Stegostoma tigrinum: one gene and its partner. The protein of the gene in region 1 interacts with the protein of each later gene in a biochemical or structural test. Links are inferred from orthologs where the notes say so. Each region holds a gene or a part of one and is shown on either strand. Other genes may lie near its edges.

Evidence for each region.
Region 2: the proteins of itsn1 (region 1) and son of sevenless homolog 1 form a complex in vitro, tested with the Homo sapiens proteins (2 studies listed by BioGRID, with this or other methods). The link is inferred for Stegostoma tigrinum from reciprocal best matches to the Homo sapiens genes ITSN1 and SOS1.

The regions. Positions count from the first base shown.
Region 1 is NC_081365.1:20,945,470-20,953,227, reverse strand, and holds the start of itsn1 (intersectin-1), read right to left. Parts: upstream 3,100-7,758; 5' UTR 2,856-3,099; intron 2,746-2,855; exon of another isoform or gene 2,669-2,745; intron 1-2,668. UniProt on the Homo sapiens protein: Adapter protein that provides a link between the endocytic membrane traffic and the actin assembly machinery. Acts as a guanine nucleotide exchange factor (GEF) for CDC42, and thereby stimulates actin nucleation mediated by WASL and the ARP2/3 complex.
Region 2 is NC_081362.1:21,098,976-21,105,901, forward strand, and holds the start of son of sevenless homolog 1, read right to left. Parts: upstream 3,004-6,926; 5' UTR 2,833-3,003; coding exon 2,746-2,832; intron 1-2,745.

The DNA of each region.
Region 1 (7,758 bases):
AGATTACAGAGGAAAGATCAATAAATGATTAAGAGTAAAATTTGAACATTCTGCAGTTTATTCCATTCTGCTTCTAGTTGTGCAAATGAAGGCTACAAAACGATGTGTGAAGCAAGGTTAGTAAAATCATTGTGGTGCTTAAGCATTGCAAGTAGTAGGATGGAACTTCGCATTTAACTGAAATGTTTTCAGTTGGCTTTCGGACTTGCAATTTAAAATTGTACTTAGTTCATACGCAAAGATTTGGATTAAATCATAGGATCCCTATAGTGTGGAAGCAGGCCATCCACACGGACCCACCTTTATCCGACCCCTATAACCTATTTCACATGGCTAATCCACCTAACCTGCACATCCCCGCACACAAAAGGCAATTCAGCACAGTCAATCACGTAACCTGCGTGTCTTTGGACTGTGGAAGGAAACCGGTGCAGTCAGAGAGAAATGTGCAAACTCCACACAGACAGTTGCCTGAGACAGTACTTGAACCCAGGTCCCTGGCTCTGAGAGGCAGCGGTGTTAACCTGTGCCACCGTGCAGCCCAAAACTGATTTGATTATCTTCCTGATGTTTACAAAATCAATGCGAGTAAGTGCCAAGAGCTGGAAGACAATGTGGGAAAGTGCAAGCTCTCACAATTTGGTCGGAACAATAGAGGCGTAGACGGATTTGTGTGTGGGGAAATGCTTCAGAAATTTGAAACACAAACGGGTGTGAATTCTACTTCAGGATTCTCTGAAGATTAATACGCAGGTTCACTTGGCAGTTAGAAAGACAAACACAATGTTAGTATTAATTTTAAGACGGCGAGAAAACAAGAGCAGAGGGGTGTTGCTGAGGTTACAGATGGCTCTGGTCAGACCACTTTTGGAATAGTGAACAGCTTTGGGCCCTGTTTGGAAGGTTGGATATGCTGGCCTTGGAGAGGATCCAGAGTTGGTTTACAAAATGATCCCCGTGATGAAGAACTTGTCAATATGAAGAGCAGTTGAGGACCGTGGAGTTTATATAAATGAGGTGGGATCTCATTGAAACTTACAGAATATTGAGACACCCGAATAGAGTGAACGTTGAGATGATGTTTCCATTAGGAGAAACTGGAGCCGAAGGGCACAGCCTCAGACTTAAGGGACGATCCTTTAGAACTGTGATGAGGAGGAAATTCTTCAAAACAGAGACTGGTGAATCTGCGGAATACATTGCTGCAGAAGGCTGTGGTGGCCAAGTCATTTTAAGTCTATTTAAGGCAGGGATAGATAGGTTCTTGATCAGAAAGGGGATCAAAGGTATGGGGAGAAAGCAGGAGAATGGGCAAGAGAAACACATCAGCCATGATCAAATGGTGGAACAGATTCAGCGGGCCACATGGCCTAATTCTGTTGTTATACTTACGGTCTGAAAGAATTTTTCAGTATTAATACTTAAAAAAAACACAAGATTCCTAGGGAAACTTTACTTGGTTCACACAACACTTGAAAATCTCACTTAAAAACATAATTGTAAAATAATGTTTTGTGCACTCTACATTAATTTTATTTGAACTATTAGAAACAAGTATCTTTGTGTTAAAACTCAGAACACTGTATGTCAAAGTTTAGATTTCATAACCTTTTTACCAACATGATAAAGCTTTTCTTTTGCAATTTACTGAATATAACTACATGCAAATAAGCATGCACACAATGTTATCACATGCAAAATAATCTGATTACAGATCTATTCGAAATCATTGCATCAAAATCTTCCAATTTCATTACCACTCAGTCAAAATATTACTATAGAATAAATCATACTGTACAGTTGATTATTTGCTAAGACTTGCCAGGTTACATTGTCAGTTGCATCACCATGATTAATGACCACTGTTCTACATTCTACAAAAATCTCAAGGTGGTTGGCTATTTTGCTGAAAATTCATAATTTATAATCTATTCGATACAACGTTAAAATTTCAGATTCCACTGAAAACAAACAACATCTTCAAAATGACAATCACTACCAAATTTCAACAAACAGCTAGCTTTGCTAACGTTTAGATTGTGTTTCATTAACAGAGAGGATCAGGCTGTTTTAGACCATATGAAAGATTTTTTTTAAGTATTGGAATGGCCGCGAACCGACCGCGAATTTAGAAACCATCCAAACCTTTAATGCTCTTGTTTCATTCGTTTATTCCCTCATCTTCAAATAGCATAAATCAAACAGTAGGCTTGGATTTTTCGTAGTCTGATTTAAATGTGGCTCCATATGTTTCATTAAAACGGCAGAAATATCTACAATACTTCGGGGTTTCAAGCCCTACTCTTCACAATTTCACAAAATAAACGTCCTGTAGCAAATAATACACTTGATATCAAGGATCGGTAATGTGGTAGAAAACGAATACGACCCTCCTTTCTTGTAATGATCCAAAAACACTTGTATCAGATTACACTTATTATTCCCATCTCCCTGTGACCAATCCGCCCTGCAACAGAGGAGCTAGAAAGGGGAAAGGGAGGCAAAGGGAATAAAATAATCTTCACCCCCATTACTCTTAATCAATGCATGGTCCAAACGAAAAGCCAGGTAATTAACGAAAAAAAAATTCACTTCGACTACAACATGCAGCAAATAAGCTCATCAAACTCTCCGCACCTCCCTCCACGGTAACTGACTTTCCTCTTACTTTTAAGGTCTGCCAGCAAAGCGTCTGTTTCAAAAGGCAGATTGCTCAAGGCTGAGCAGCGGTGAGTTACCACAGTGTGTATTAAAGGGAGACATGCCTGCAGCAAGCAGTGCCTGAAATAACAGGAGGCAGTCATCCTTTGGCTGTAGGGAGAGCCATTGCAGGAGCTACAAACCGTGCAGCTTACCTCATCTCGGAAAGCGCCGGCGGAGGGTCGCTCCCCAGCGGCGGCTCCACGGCCTTCACCACCCCCCAAGAGTAGAGATATCCTTTCGATCTGCCGGCTACTGGGTGTGGGTGAGACAAGGAGCCGCCTCTCTCTCTCTTGCGTCTACGTCTGTCTCTCCGCCCGTTGCCTAGTGTCTGAAACTAACGCACTCACTCTTTCTCCTTTCTCTCTCTCCCCGCCCCCCCAAGCCGTACGTTACCCAACGCGCCCGCGCAGCCAAACGGAAACGACTCACCGCAAACTCGTTGACTGACAGGAATAGCGTCCTATCGAAGAACGCGGCGCCGTCCATCCCTGGGTGATCCAATCGGCAAGCGTCCTGTGAAGCTGCTCCTCCCCCTGGAAAATCCGCCTTGCTTGCCCCTCGACCTAACTCGTTGCTTTCCGCAGCGTGGCGGCCCATTTGAGTGACAGCCGTTGTGACCATAGAGAGCGCGCATGTTCATGTCGCCCTGCCGGAAGCAACGAACAGGGTGTGAGCAGGTGGGCGGTGCTTGCTGTTGATGTGTCATCGGGTTAGGTTGACTCCGTGCCCGTGACGACGCTTTGGCTGTGATGGGCGCTTAAGTTATAATTGAAGGTAGACATTTAACTTCACCTGTCACCGCTGCTCCTTTCTCGGTTTTATAAAAGCTCACTACTCCAACCGTATTGAAGCAATTATTAGTGCTATTTTTAAAGCATATGTTTTAAAAGATTAAATAGAGTGGATGGAGTAAGGACCATAGTAGTAAGTATTGTATTTCCCTATCCTGTTTCTATTTGTACACAAAGTATTTAGGTCATTTCTGAAAAAGGGTCCCGATCCGAAACGTCAACTTTCCTTCTCCTCTGATGCTACCTGACCTGTCCCTCCAGCTCCACACTGTTGTCTTGGTCGTAGAATATCCGCAGTGTGGAGACAGGCCATTCGGCCCAACAAGTCCACACCGATTCTCCAAAGAACATCCACCCCATCCCTGTAATCCTGCCTTTCCCATGCCTAATCCGCCTGCTTAATTTACATATCTCTGGACACTATGGTCAATTCAGCATAGCTAATCTACCTAATTTGCACATCTGTGGGAGGAAACGCACGCTGACAGGGGGAGAACTCAACACAGTCGCCCGAGGGTGGAATGGAACTCTCGACCTGGAGCTGTGAAGTAGCAATACTAACGACTGAGCGACCAGCCGCCATGTCGTTTGTTTCAAATTATCAATGCAAAATGTTGTATTCCAAGAACGTTTTTGTTGTATACAATTGCCCATGAAACAATAATTAGTATTCTCAACGTTTCTTGAGACTTTTTTTTTGTACCTGGCCTTTAGTTTCAAGATAAATGTTGTAGCATCATGTAAGTTTTGTTATTTAGCCTGACAATCTAATGTGTAGGTTCTGCATGGCTAAACAAAAAACCTCAAAAAGGCAAATGTTTTTATTTTTCAAACTGCTTGTATTAATTGTTTACTTTCTACAGATAGTGATGAAGGCAAATCCCCATGTTTTCCCCAAATGATGTGATTTATAAGGGTGTCACATTGTTTTATTTTGTCCTGGTGAGACTCTTCAGAGTAATTTGTTCACTTATCATCACATTCGAAACATTATATACGTTAGCAGAGGACTGTGAGGTTGATTCATGAACTTATATGTCTCAGTTATAATGAAAGATTGTTTACCTTGTACATTTCTGAGAAACAGAATGAGAGTGGAATAATAAAGTCCTGGAGAAATATATCAGGTCTGGCAGCATGTTGACTTGATGGTAGGCCACAGAGCATGGCGGTGAGGGGTTGACTTTTGGACTAGAGGCCTGTGACCAGCAGTGCTCCTCCAGGGGTCAGTGCTGGGTTCACTTTTGTTTGTTATTTATACAAATAATTTGGATGAATATTTAGGAGGCATGGTTAGTGAGTTTGAGATGACACCAAAGTTGGTGGTATAGTCGACTGAAGAAGGTTATCTGAAATTACAAAAGCATCTCCGTCAATTGGGCCAATGGGCTGAGGAGTGGCAAATGGAGTTTAATTTGGATAAATGTGAGGTGTTGCATTTCAGTAAGATGAACAAGGGCCCTGGGTTCTGTTTTAGAACATGATTGACCTAGGGGTTCAGGTACATAATTCTTTGAAATTTGCATCATAGGCAGACAAGATAGTTAAGGCATTTAGCAAGCTTGCCTTCATTGCTCAGACCATTGATTATAGGCGTTGGGACATCATGTTGAGGCTGTTGGTGAGGCCACTTTTGGAGGACTGTGTACACTTGTGGTTGGCATGCAATAGGATGGATATTATTAAAGTGGAGAGGGCTCAGAAAAGATTTACCAGGATGTTGTTGGGACTGGAGGCTTTGAGTTACAGGGAAGGCTCGATAGGCTGGGAACTTTTTCCCTGAAGCGTAGGAGGTTGATAGAGGTTTATAAAATCATGAGGGGCTTAGATAAGGTGAATAGCAATGATCTTTCCCCTAGGGTCAGGCAGTTCAAAACTAGGGGGCATATTTTTAAGATGAGAGGAGAAAGATTTAAAAGCGACCTGACGGACAACTTCTCTGCACAGCTGGTGGTTTGTATGTTGAATAAACTGCCAGAGGAAGTGGTAGATGCAGGTAGAGTTAGAATGTTTTAAAAGACATTTGGGGACACACATGAATAAGAAAAGTTTAGAGAGATATGGGCCAAATGCAGGCAAGTGGGTCTAGTTTAAATTTGGAAACTTGGTCGCACAGACAAATTAAAACAAAGGGCCTGTTTTCATGCTGTATTATTCTGTGCAAGCTAAGTGGATTGGCCGTGCTGAATTACCCATAGTGTTCATGGATATGTCGGTTAGGCGCATTAACCATGGGAAATGTAGGGTTACAGCGTAGGGGGTCTGGGTCTGGGTTTGGGTGGGATGCTGTTCAGAGGATCAGTGTGGACTTGTTGGGCCGATTTGCCTGTTTCCACACTGGAAAGATTCTATGACTCTGTATCTGGAAGCAGAAACAGTTAATATTTTGAGTATGATAAAACTTGTCAGAATGGGAGTGGACTTTGACATTGGTGTTCAAGGCCGTCACAGTTAAAGAGAATTTAGATTCCGGGAAATGATTTTGGTAGTTACAGATTTAAGTAGCAGGAATACAACAGGATCTGAAAAGAAACTCTGAAATTTACTCAACTTTGAGTTGGGTGAAACAGAATATTGGTGAAGTTAGTAGAACAGAAAGAAGAAATTGTATTTCTTCAGCAATCAATCCAGTATCTCAGAAGTGCCGTACTAATAAATATTTTTATTCAACTGTTCGGGCATGTTGGAACACATGCCATGCGTAGGTGGAATTTGAACCAGGACCTTCTGGTACAGAGGTCTGGATGCTACCATCACAACTCGGGAGCACTTAGTAGAGCATGATTTTGATGGACTATGGACTCAGCACATTTCTACTACACCACTCTGCTGTCGAAATGATGTTGTTAGAAACTGCGGCAGCCAATTTGTGAATGTAAATACCCATAAGATGGGCTAGTTAGCTTCGATGGCTTGAGAATGGTGCAGAGGCACACCAACATTATCCTACCATTTGAGGATATTCTTGGGGCCTGTGCATCATGATATCAAGGCATAACTTCCAACTCTCTAGCAATGAGAAAGTTGCATAGAGGGAGAGAGAGAGAGATCAGAAGCAGAAATGAAATGATGAACAGACGTAGCTTGAGAGATAGGTATTGGCCAAAACATGGGTGAAATCCAGTAGTTTGTAGTCATTCTTTTAAAAATAGTTTTGTGGCAGTTAGCTGAATTCTGTTATCAGCTGCTACTCACTCAGCTGCCCTAGCTGAAATAAGTGGATGGGTTTTTTGATAGAAATGAACTGTATTCTCTTCAATATCCACCTAAGTTTTTGGGAAACAGGCAAGAAAGTGAATTTGAGGCGAGGATTAGATAAGCCATGATCGAATAATATAGCAGATTCAAGGGACCAAATGGACCCCTCCTGCTGCTATTACTTCATATGTTCACAAATGTATGAAACATTTACCTATCCTTGCTTAGTTGGCTAGCTGCTTTGAATGTGATGGTTTTCCTTGTGATATCGATGTTATATTTGCCCTTTAAATTGCTGCTACGCGCAGTAAAAAAATTTGTTGTCTTTGTCGATGTACATTGACAAAGTGGCCTGTAAATGAGATTAATCTGTGCTCAGTCCTGTGACTGGACTGTAAATGTACTAGCTCTGTTCTTTATCTTGGCAGTTATCCAGAAGAAGCAACATGGAACTAAGGGTATTAATATAACTTTGAATCAGGTGGCAACCATTTAAATATCGTAGTCACAGAAAAACATGATCAAGTTGAACGGAGAGGCATATAATTCCATGAAGATGGACAAATCAGAAAATTGGCCTGAATGTAAAAACCAGCAACAAGTGACTTAAAAGAACTAAAGAGAGAATGTAGAATATGAAAGATTACCTGGAAATAAAAACAAATAGGAAAGTGTCTATTCAAATATTTAAACAGTAAAAGACGACTAAAGTTAAAATTTGGCTTCAGATCAGTCTGGAGTATGGCTTGGGTGGGGACTTGCAGATGGTGAATTTCCGATGCACCAGTTGCCCCCGAGCTTTTGGGTGGCCAATGTCACCGGTCCAAAACAAATGCACCTTGTGGATTGTACATACTGCTGCCATTGTGCATCAGTGGTGAAGGAAGTGAATGTGGAAGTGATGTAATTCAAGCAGGTGCTTTGTTCTGATTGGTTTCGAGCTTCGTAAGTGGTGTTGGTGCTATGACCATCCAGCCAAGTGGATTGATCATAGTCTTGACTTGGGCCTTGTAGTTGGTGGAAAGGTAATGGGGAGACAGGAGGTGACAGAATAAGGTAGGGTTGG
Region 2 (6,926 bases), on another chromosome or scaffold:
ATCTCTGCAAAAGTTGCTCATGGTAGTGTCCTCAGCCCAACCATCTTCAGCTGCTTCAATGACTTTTCTTTCATCATAAAAGGTCAGAAGTGGGGATGTTCACCGATGACTGCACAATGTTCAGCACCATTTACAACTCCTCAGATAGTGAAGCAGTCTACATTCAAATGCAACAAGATCTGGACAATATCCAAACTTAGGCTGACAAGTAACATTTGTGCCACACAAATGCCAGGCAATGACCATCTCCAATAAGATACTAGCCAAAACTGTCCTTTGACATTCACTATTACTGAATCTCCAACTGTCAACATCTTGTTGTTTGCACTGACCAGAAGCTCTCGTACTCATCACATAAACAGTGACTACGAGAGCAGGTCAGGGGCCAGGAATACTATGGAGAGTTCCTCATCTCCTGACTCTCCTGAAGCCTGCCCACAATCTACAAAGGCACAAGTCATAAATGGTGATGGAATACTCCTCATTAGCTTGGACAGGTGCAGCTCTAACAACACTGAGAAACTTGACACCATCCAGGCCAAAACAGCACGTTTGATGGGCACCACATTCACAAGCATCCACTCCCTCCATCACTGATACTTAGTACACAATGTTGCTACTATCTACAAGATGCATTACAGAAATGCAAACATCCTTACATAGTACTTTCCAAACCCACGACCACTTTCACTTGGAAAGGACAGGGGCAGCAGCTACACGGGAACACCATAACCTGCAAGTTCTCCTCCAAGACACTCATCATCATGACTTGGAAATATATTTGTTCCTTCACTGTTGCTGGGTCAAAATCCTGAAATTCCCTCACTTGTGGCATTATTGGTCACCCTACAGCACATGGACTGCAGCAGTTCACCACCACTTTCTCAAGGGCAATTATGAACCGGCAAAAATGCCAGTCAGCAACACCAATGTCTCTCAAGTGACTAACAAAAAATCTTAATTCAAAGAGAATTTCTGTTAGAAAGCTAAAAGTGAGAAAAAAATTTGTAATTTTAAAGTATTTGGATCCTAGTAGAAATGTTTTAAAAACGTATATATTATTTACAAAATTAATAATGGCAGTTGCTCCAGAAACTATTTGGTAATTCACTTCCAAGATGATTAACATGCATATTCATTGCTAGTTGAAAGACAAAAATGGACACCGTGGAACCCATTTGCCTAAACTGTATATGACAGGTAAGAGAATTCCTCCTTACAATTGTTCATAACCCAAAGTACAGCCACATGCAGCATCAGCTACAGCACTGAAGTTCTATTGTTTAATAAGCCAAAACTTTGCCTTTTTAAGAAAAAACTTATACAAGTCATGCCACTTATTCATCAGTCCTGAGATCCACAAGAGGTTCTTGAATGTCAGAGAACCAAATCAAATTCTCATCCACCTGGAATCCAGGATAATCAGGTACTACGATCACAGTAATGCAATAATTTAAAATTTTCTTCATGCTTTACTTCTGTATCAATTAATTATGGTACTGCTTTCTACAATCAATGCACACTTCATCTGGCTTAGTTAATCCAGTATTTCCAAAAGAGTTCCCCATTCAGAAAAGACTTTGAGTCACTGATTTAGGTCAGATATATTGCTGGAATATTTTAGAAATTACATTGATAATATTATCAATGCTAATATTTTTTAAAAATCATGCAAACTACCCCCACGAGAGTCAGGGCAACCCATCATTTAAAAACACCAAACAGAAACTGCTCAAAAAGCTCAGCAGTTCAGAGGAAGAGACACAGGACCAAAACGTTAACTCTGATTGTTCTCCACATTCACTGCCACACCTGTTGAGCTTTTCCAGCGATTTCGGTTTTTGTTTCTGATTTCCAAAATCCACAGTTCCTTTTTCTTATTTAAAATAAAATCAAACCTTATCCGAAAAGTAAAGAATTAGCATGTTATATTTGGGCGTTTCAATTTTTTTCAAAATTGAGATTTACTTGACAAAAAGTGTATCTGCCACAATTTTATCTCATTTGCCCAACAATCCTTTTCAGATATCAGGCTGCCTTTTGAATCATAAGGTCCACAATTTGCCTTAAATCGGACCTTTCATTAAAAGAAACACACAGGCTTGAAACTTGAAATCTCAGTCTCGCATTCACTTCCATTCTGTTCACTGTCCAAAACCCCACAATAAAAACCACATGATAAATATGTACCTTGTCGCAATTGATTCCAAAATACCCCGACACCAAAGTAATTTGCAACACAATAACAAGGGGGGAATAGAACTCCCTAAGGAAGATCGCAACATATCAGGTAAAACTTCACTTAATTATGGTTTGATAGTCGAAAGCTAATAATTGTGATTACTAATAGCAAAAACTGGTATGCTCACACAAAAAGTTGCTCCTGAAAGGAAATGTCATGTCACATCAGCTGAATCACCTAATCCTACTGTACGCTATTCAAAAAAGCCAAATTCACCAAATTAACATACAATCTATTTAGCGAACCAGTTCACAGCGGCAGAGGAAACGACATTCTCCTTTCAAAACAGTTCCCCGTTCCTACTACCGAAATATTTAACCGATTTAATACACATGCTTGTAAAAAGCATTTTAGCATCTTTCAATGATGTTAGAAAATATCAAAACATCAAGTCGATAGTTCGCTAAGCTAAGCCTCGAATTTCTTTTCTAAAAACTACAATAGATCTCATCAATTGATTATTTAAATATAAGCACATACTAGATCTTCAAAGTAGCTTTTACCTTCCGCAGAGCAACGACGAGTAGACCGCGCCATTTGGGTGCATTGTCCTCACTGAAGAAATCGTACTGTTGTTGTGGCTGCTGCATGGTGCAGCCTCCGGCCCCCGGACGCGCACCCGCAGCCTTTTTCCAGTCAGAAAGAAGATTGGACGTTTTCTTCTTCGATCGCCACTCCTAGGAGCGATCTCGAAATGATTCCCTTCCTCCTCCTTCTACTGCCTGTCCGACTTCTAAAGCGCTCGCCGACCGCTTCTTATACTCAGAGCACCCCTCACTACCCCTTCCCCCTCCCCCCCCCTCCCCCTCCCCAAAAGTTTCAAAGTGACTGTCCCCCTTTCGCTTTTTTGTTGCCCGCAACAGCTCCTTTTGCTGTCGTCGCTGGTACTCCCGATCGCCTCTCTCGCACGCCGGGGACACCATTCGGCTGCGAAGCCAACGGAGAGACACTGGACACGGCAGCCAACCAACGGCTCGAGCTCGAGACGAGGTCGGGGCGGGGGGGGGTGTGCGACAGAAAGACGGCGCGATCTCGAGACGAAAATTCAACGGTCACCCTGGATCGAGGAGGGGGAGCTAGTCGCCAGCTGACCTACATACATACACACACACACACACACAAATCTCGATTCGTTCCCCCGCCCCCCCCATCCAACCCGTCTTGAAACTACCGATCCACTGGTGTGAACGCCCACGATTACATGTTGAGAGTCAACGTCCGGGGCGTCAAATACTGGCTGGGAAGATTTTTAAAAAGGAGGAACAACTCGCCCCTTCTAACGATAAAATAACAAAAATATCCCGTGTGTTCTTCAAACTTGAGAGCTTCAAACGTCTGCGCATGCGGCCGAATAGACAGGGGGCCGCATTTTCTTTCTCAGCCCAACACGGAAAAGGAACAGGAGGAAAGGTCGTCCTGTTTACGCTGCCGTGTACCATGCATTCTGGGAAATAGAGTTCACCCTTCATTGCAATTGCAGCAAGCTTATTGACGTTCGTAGTTTTACGGAGTGTGGGTTTCCTGAGTGAACGATCCTTTGGAATGATTTACTAAAGAAATAAAAATGTGAAAATACTAAATAGGCCCGATATCACTGGGACTCGTGAGAGTTGTTATGTTCTCTAACTTCGTTCAGGAAATTATTATTTTTTGAAATGATCTGACCGATTGAAGGCGACGCAACCCCGGTAAAGGGAGGAGGTGTGCTTGGATGGTCAAAGAACATTTCCTGACGTATGTACTGCAGCCACTAAGTGAACTATAAACGATTTGGATGAGAATAGAGGAGGCACAGTTACCCGAGTTTGGTGGATAACACCAAAATTGATGCTTTAGTCGATTGTGTAGATTATCTAACAGTAAAATGGGATATCTTTCAACTGGCCTCTCTGATGAAGGGTCTAGGCCCGAAACGTCAGCTTTTGTGCTCCTGAGATGCTGCTTGGCCTGCTGTGTTCATCCAGCCTCACATTTTGTTGTCTTGGATTCTCCAGCATCTGCAGTTCCCATTTTCTCTGATATCTTTCAACTGGGCCAGGAATGACATAGGGTTGAATGTAAATAAATGCGAGGTATTGTATTTCGGTAGAACAAACCAGCAGGACTTAGACAGTTAACGACAGGGCATTGGGCAGTATTGTCAGACAGCAAGACCGAGGGGTGCAGGTACCTAGTTCTTTGAAAGTGGCATCGGGGTGGTAAAGAAGACAGGGTGAAGGGTCCAGACCCAAAACGTCAACCTTCCTGTTCCTGTGTTGCTGCCTGGCCTGCCGTGTTCCTCCAGCTCCATACTGTGTTATCTTTGAGTCCAGTGAAGAAGGCATTTCCCTTCATTGGTCAGAGCATTGCGTGGAGGAAGTGGGATGGCATGTATGGCTGTACAGTGATGTGGAGGGGCCAGTGTTGGACCACAGTGGACAAGGTCAAAAATCACACAACATCAGGTTATAGTCAAACAGGTTTATTTGAAAACACAAGTTTTCTGAGCCTCACTCTTCCTTCAGGCATTAGTGAGAGAGGTGTCATCAGACACAGAATTTATAAATAAAACATCAAAGGTCACACAACTGATGAGCATGTATTAAGCAAACCTAAACCTAAGATGCTGTTAAGTCTCTAATCAGTTAGAAGGTTTTCTTTGACGAACATGTATATGTAATATTTTTCTATTCATTTGTGGGATGTGGGTGTCGCTGGTTGGCCAGCATATCTTGCCCATCCTTAGTTGCCCTTGAGAAGGTGGTGGTGAGCTGCTTTCTTGAACCACTGCAGTCCACCTGCTGTAAGATCACCCACAATGCTATTAGGGAGGGAACTGCAGGATCTTGACCCACCAATGGGAAAGGAACAGCAATATATTTCCAAGCCAGAATGGTGAGTGGCTTTGGGGGTAACTTAGAGGTGGTGATGTTCCCGTATGCCCTTGTCTTTCGAGATGGAAGTGGTCGTGGGTTTGGAAGGTGCTGTCTGAGGATCTTGGGTGAATTTCTGCAGTGCATCTTGTACTACTGAGCATCACTGGTGGAAGGAGTGGATGCTTGTGGATGTCGTGCCAATCAAGCAAGCTGCTTTGCCCTGGATGGTGTCAAGCTTTTTGAGTGTTGCTAGGGCTGCACTCATCCAGGCAAGTGGGAGTATTCCATCACACTCCTGACTTGTGTCTTGTAGATGGTGGACAGGCTTTGAAGGGTCAGGAGGTGAGTTATTTGCCACAGTATTCCTAGCTTCTGGCCTGCTCTTGTAACCAAAGTGCTTTTGTGGTGAGTCCAGTTGAGTTTCTGGTCAATGATAACCCCCAAGATGTTGATAGTGGGGGATTCACTGATGGGAACACATTGAATATCAAGGGGTGGTTGTTAGATTGTTTCTTATTGGTGATGATCATAGCCTGGCACTTGTGCAGCACGAATGTCACTTCCCAATTGTCAGCCCAAGCCTGGATGTTGTCCAGATCTCGTTGCATTTGAACACTGACTGCTTCAGTATCCGAGGAGTCACGAATGGTGCTGAACATTGTGCAATCATTGGCGAACATACCCACTTCTGAGCTTCTGATGGAGGGAAGATTGCTGATGAAGCAGCTGAAGATGGTTGGGCTGAGGACACTACCCTGAAGAATTCCTGCAGAGATGTCCTGGAGCTGAAGTGATTGACCTCCAACAACCATAACCAACTTCCTATATGTCAGATATGACTCCAACCACCAGAGAGTTTGCCCCCTGATACACATCGATTCCAGTTTTGCCAGGGCTCCTTGATGCCACATTCAGTTGAATGCAGTCTTGATATCAAGGGCTGTCACTCTCACCTAACCTCTGGAATTCAGCTCTTTTTCCCATGTTTGAACCAAGGCTGTAATGAGGTCAGGACCTGAGTGGCTCTGGCAGAACCCAAACTGGGCGTCTCTGAGCAGGTTATTGCTGAGCAGGTGGTGCTTGATAGCACTGTTGATGACATCTTCCATTACTTTACTGATGACTGAGAGTAGACTGATGGGGCAGTAATTGGCCGGATTGGATTTGTACTGCCTTATGTGTACAGGACATAATTGGGCAATTTTCCACATTGCCGGGTAGATACCAGTATTGTAATTGTACTGGAACAGCTTGGCTCGGGAAGCGCCAAGTTCTGGAGCACAAGTCTTCAGCACTGTTCTCGGAATATTGTCAGGGTCCGTAGCCTTTGCAATATCCAGTGTGTCCAACCGTTTTTTGATATCACTTGGAGTGAATCGAATTGGCTGAAGACTGGTATCAGAAATGCTGGGGACCACTGAAGGAGGCTAAGATGGATCATCCACTCGGAACTTCTGGGTGAAGATTACTGTGAATGCTTCAACTTTATCTTTTGCAAGGATGTGCTGAGCTCATCCATCACTGAGGATAGCGAGCCACTTTGTCCAGTGAGTTGTTTAATTGCCCACCACCATTGTGGGATCGCTTAGTTACGTCTATCACTGACTGCTTTTTTGACAGTTCATCTTCAGATTCGCCTGGTGCTGCTCCTGGCATATCCTCCTTCACTCTCCTTTGAACCAGAGTGTGTGTGAAACCATGGTGTGCGTGTGAGAGAGAGAGTGTGTGTGTGTGTGTGTGTGAGAGAGAGAACAAAACAGCTAAGCATGTGAGGGAGAGAGACAGTGAGCAAGCGCGGGTGTGAGAGAGAGAAAGAGTGCATGTGTGTG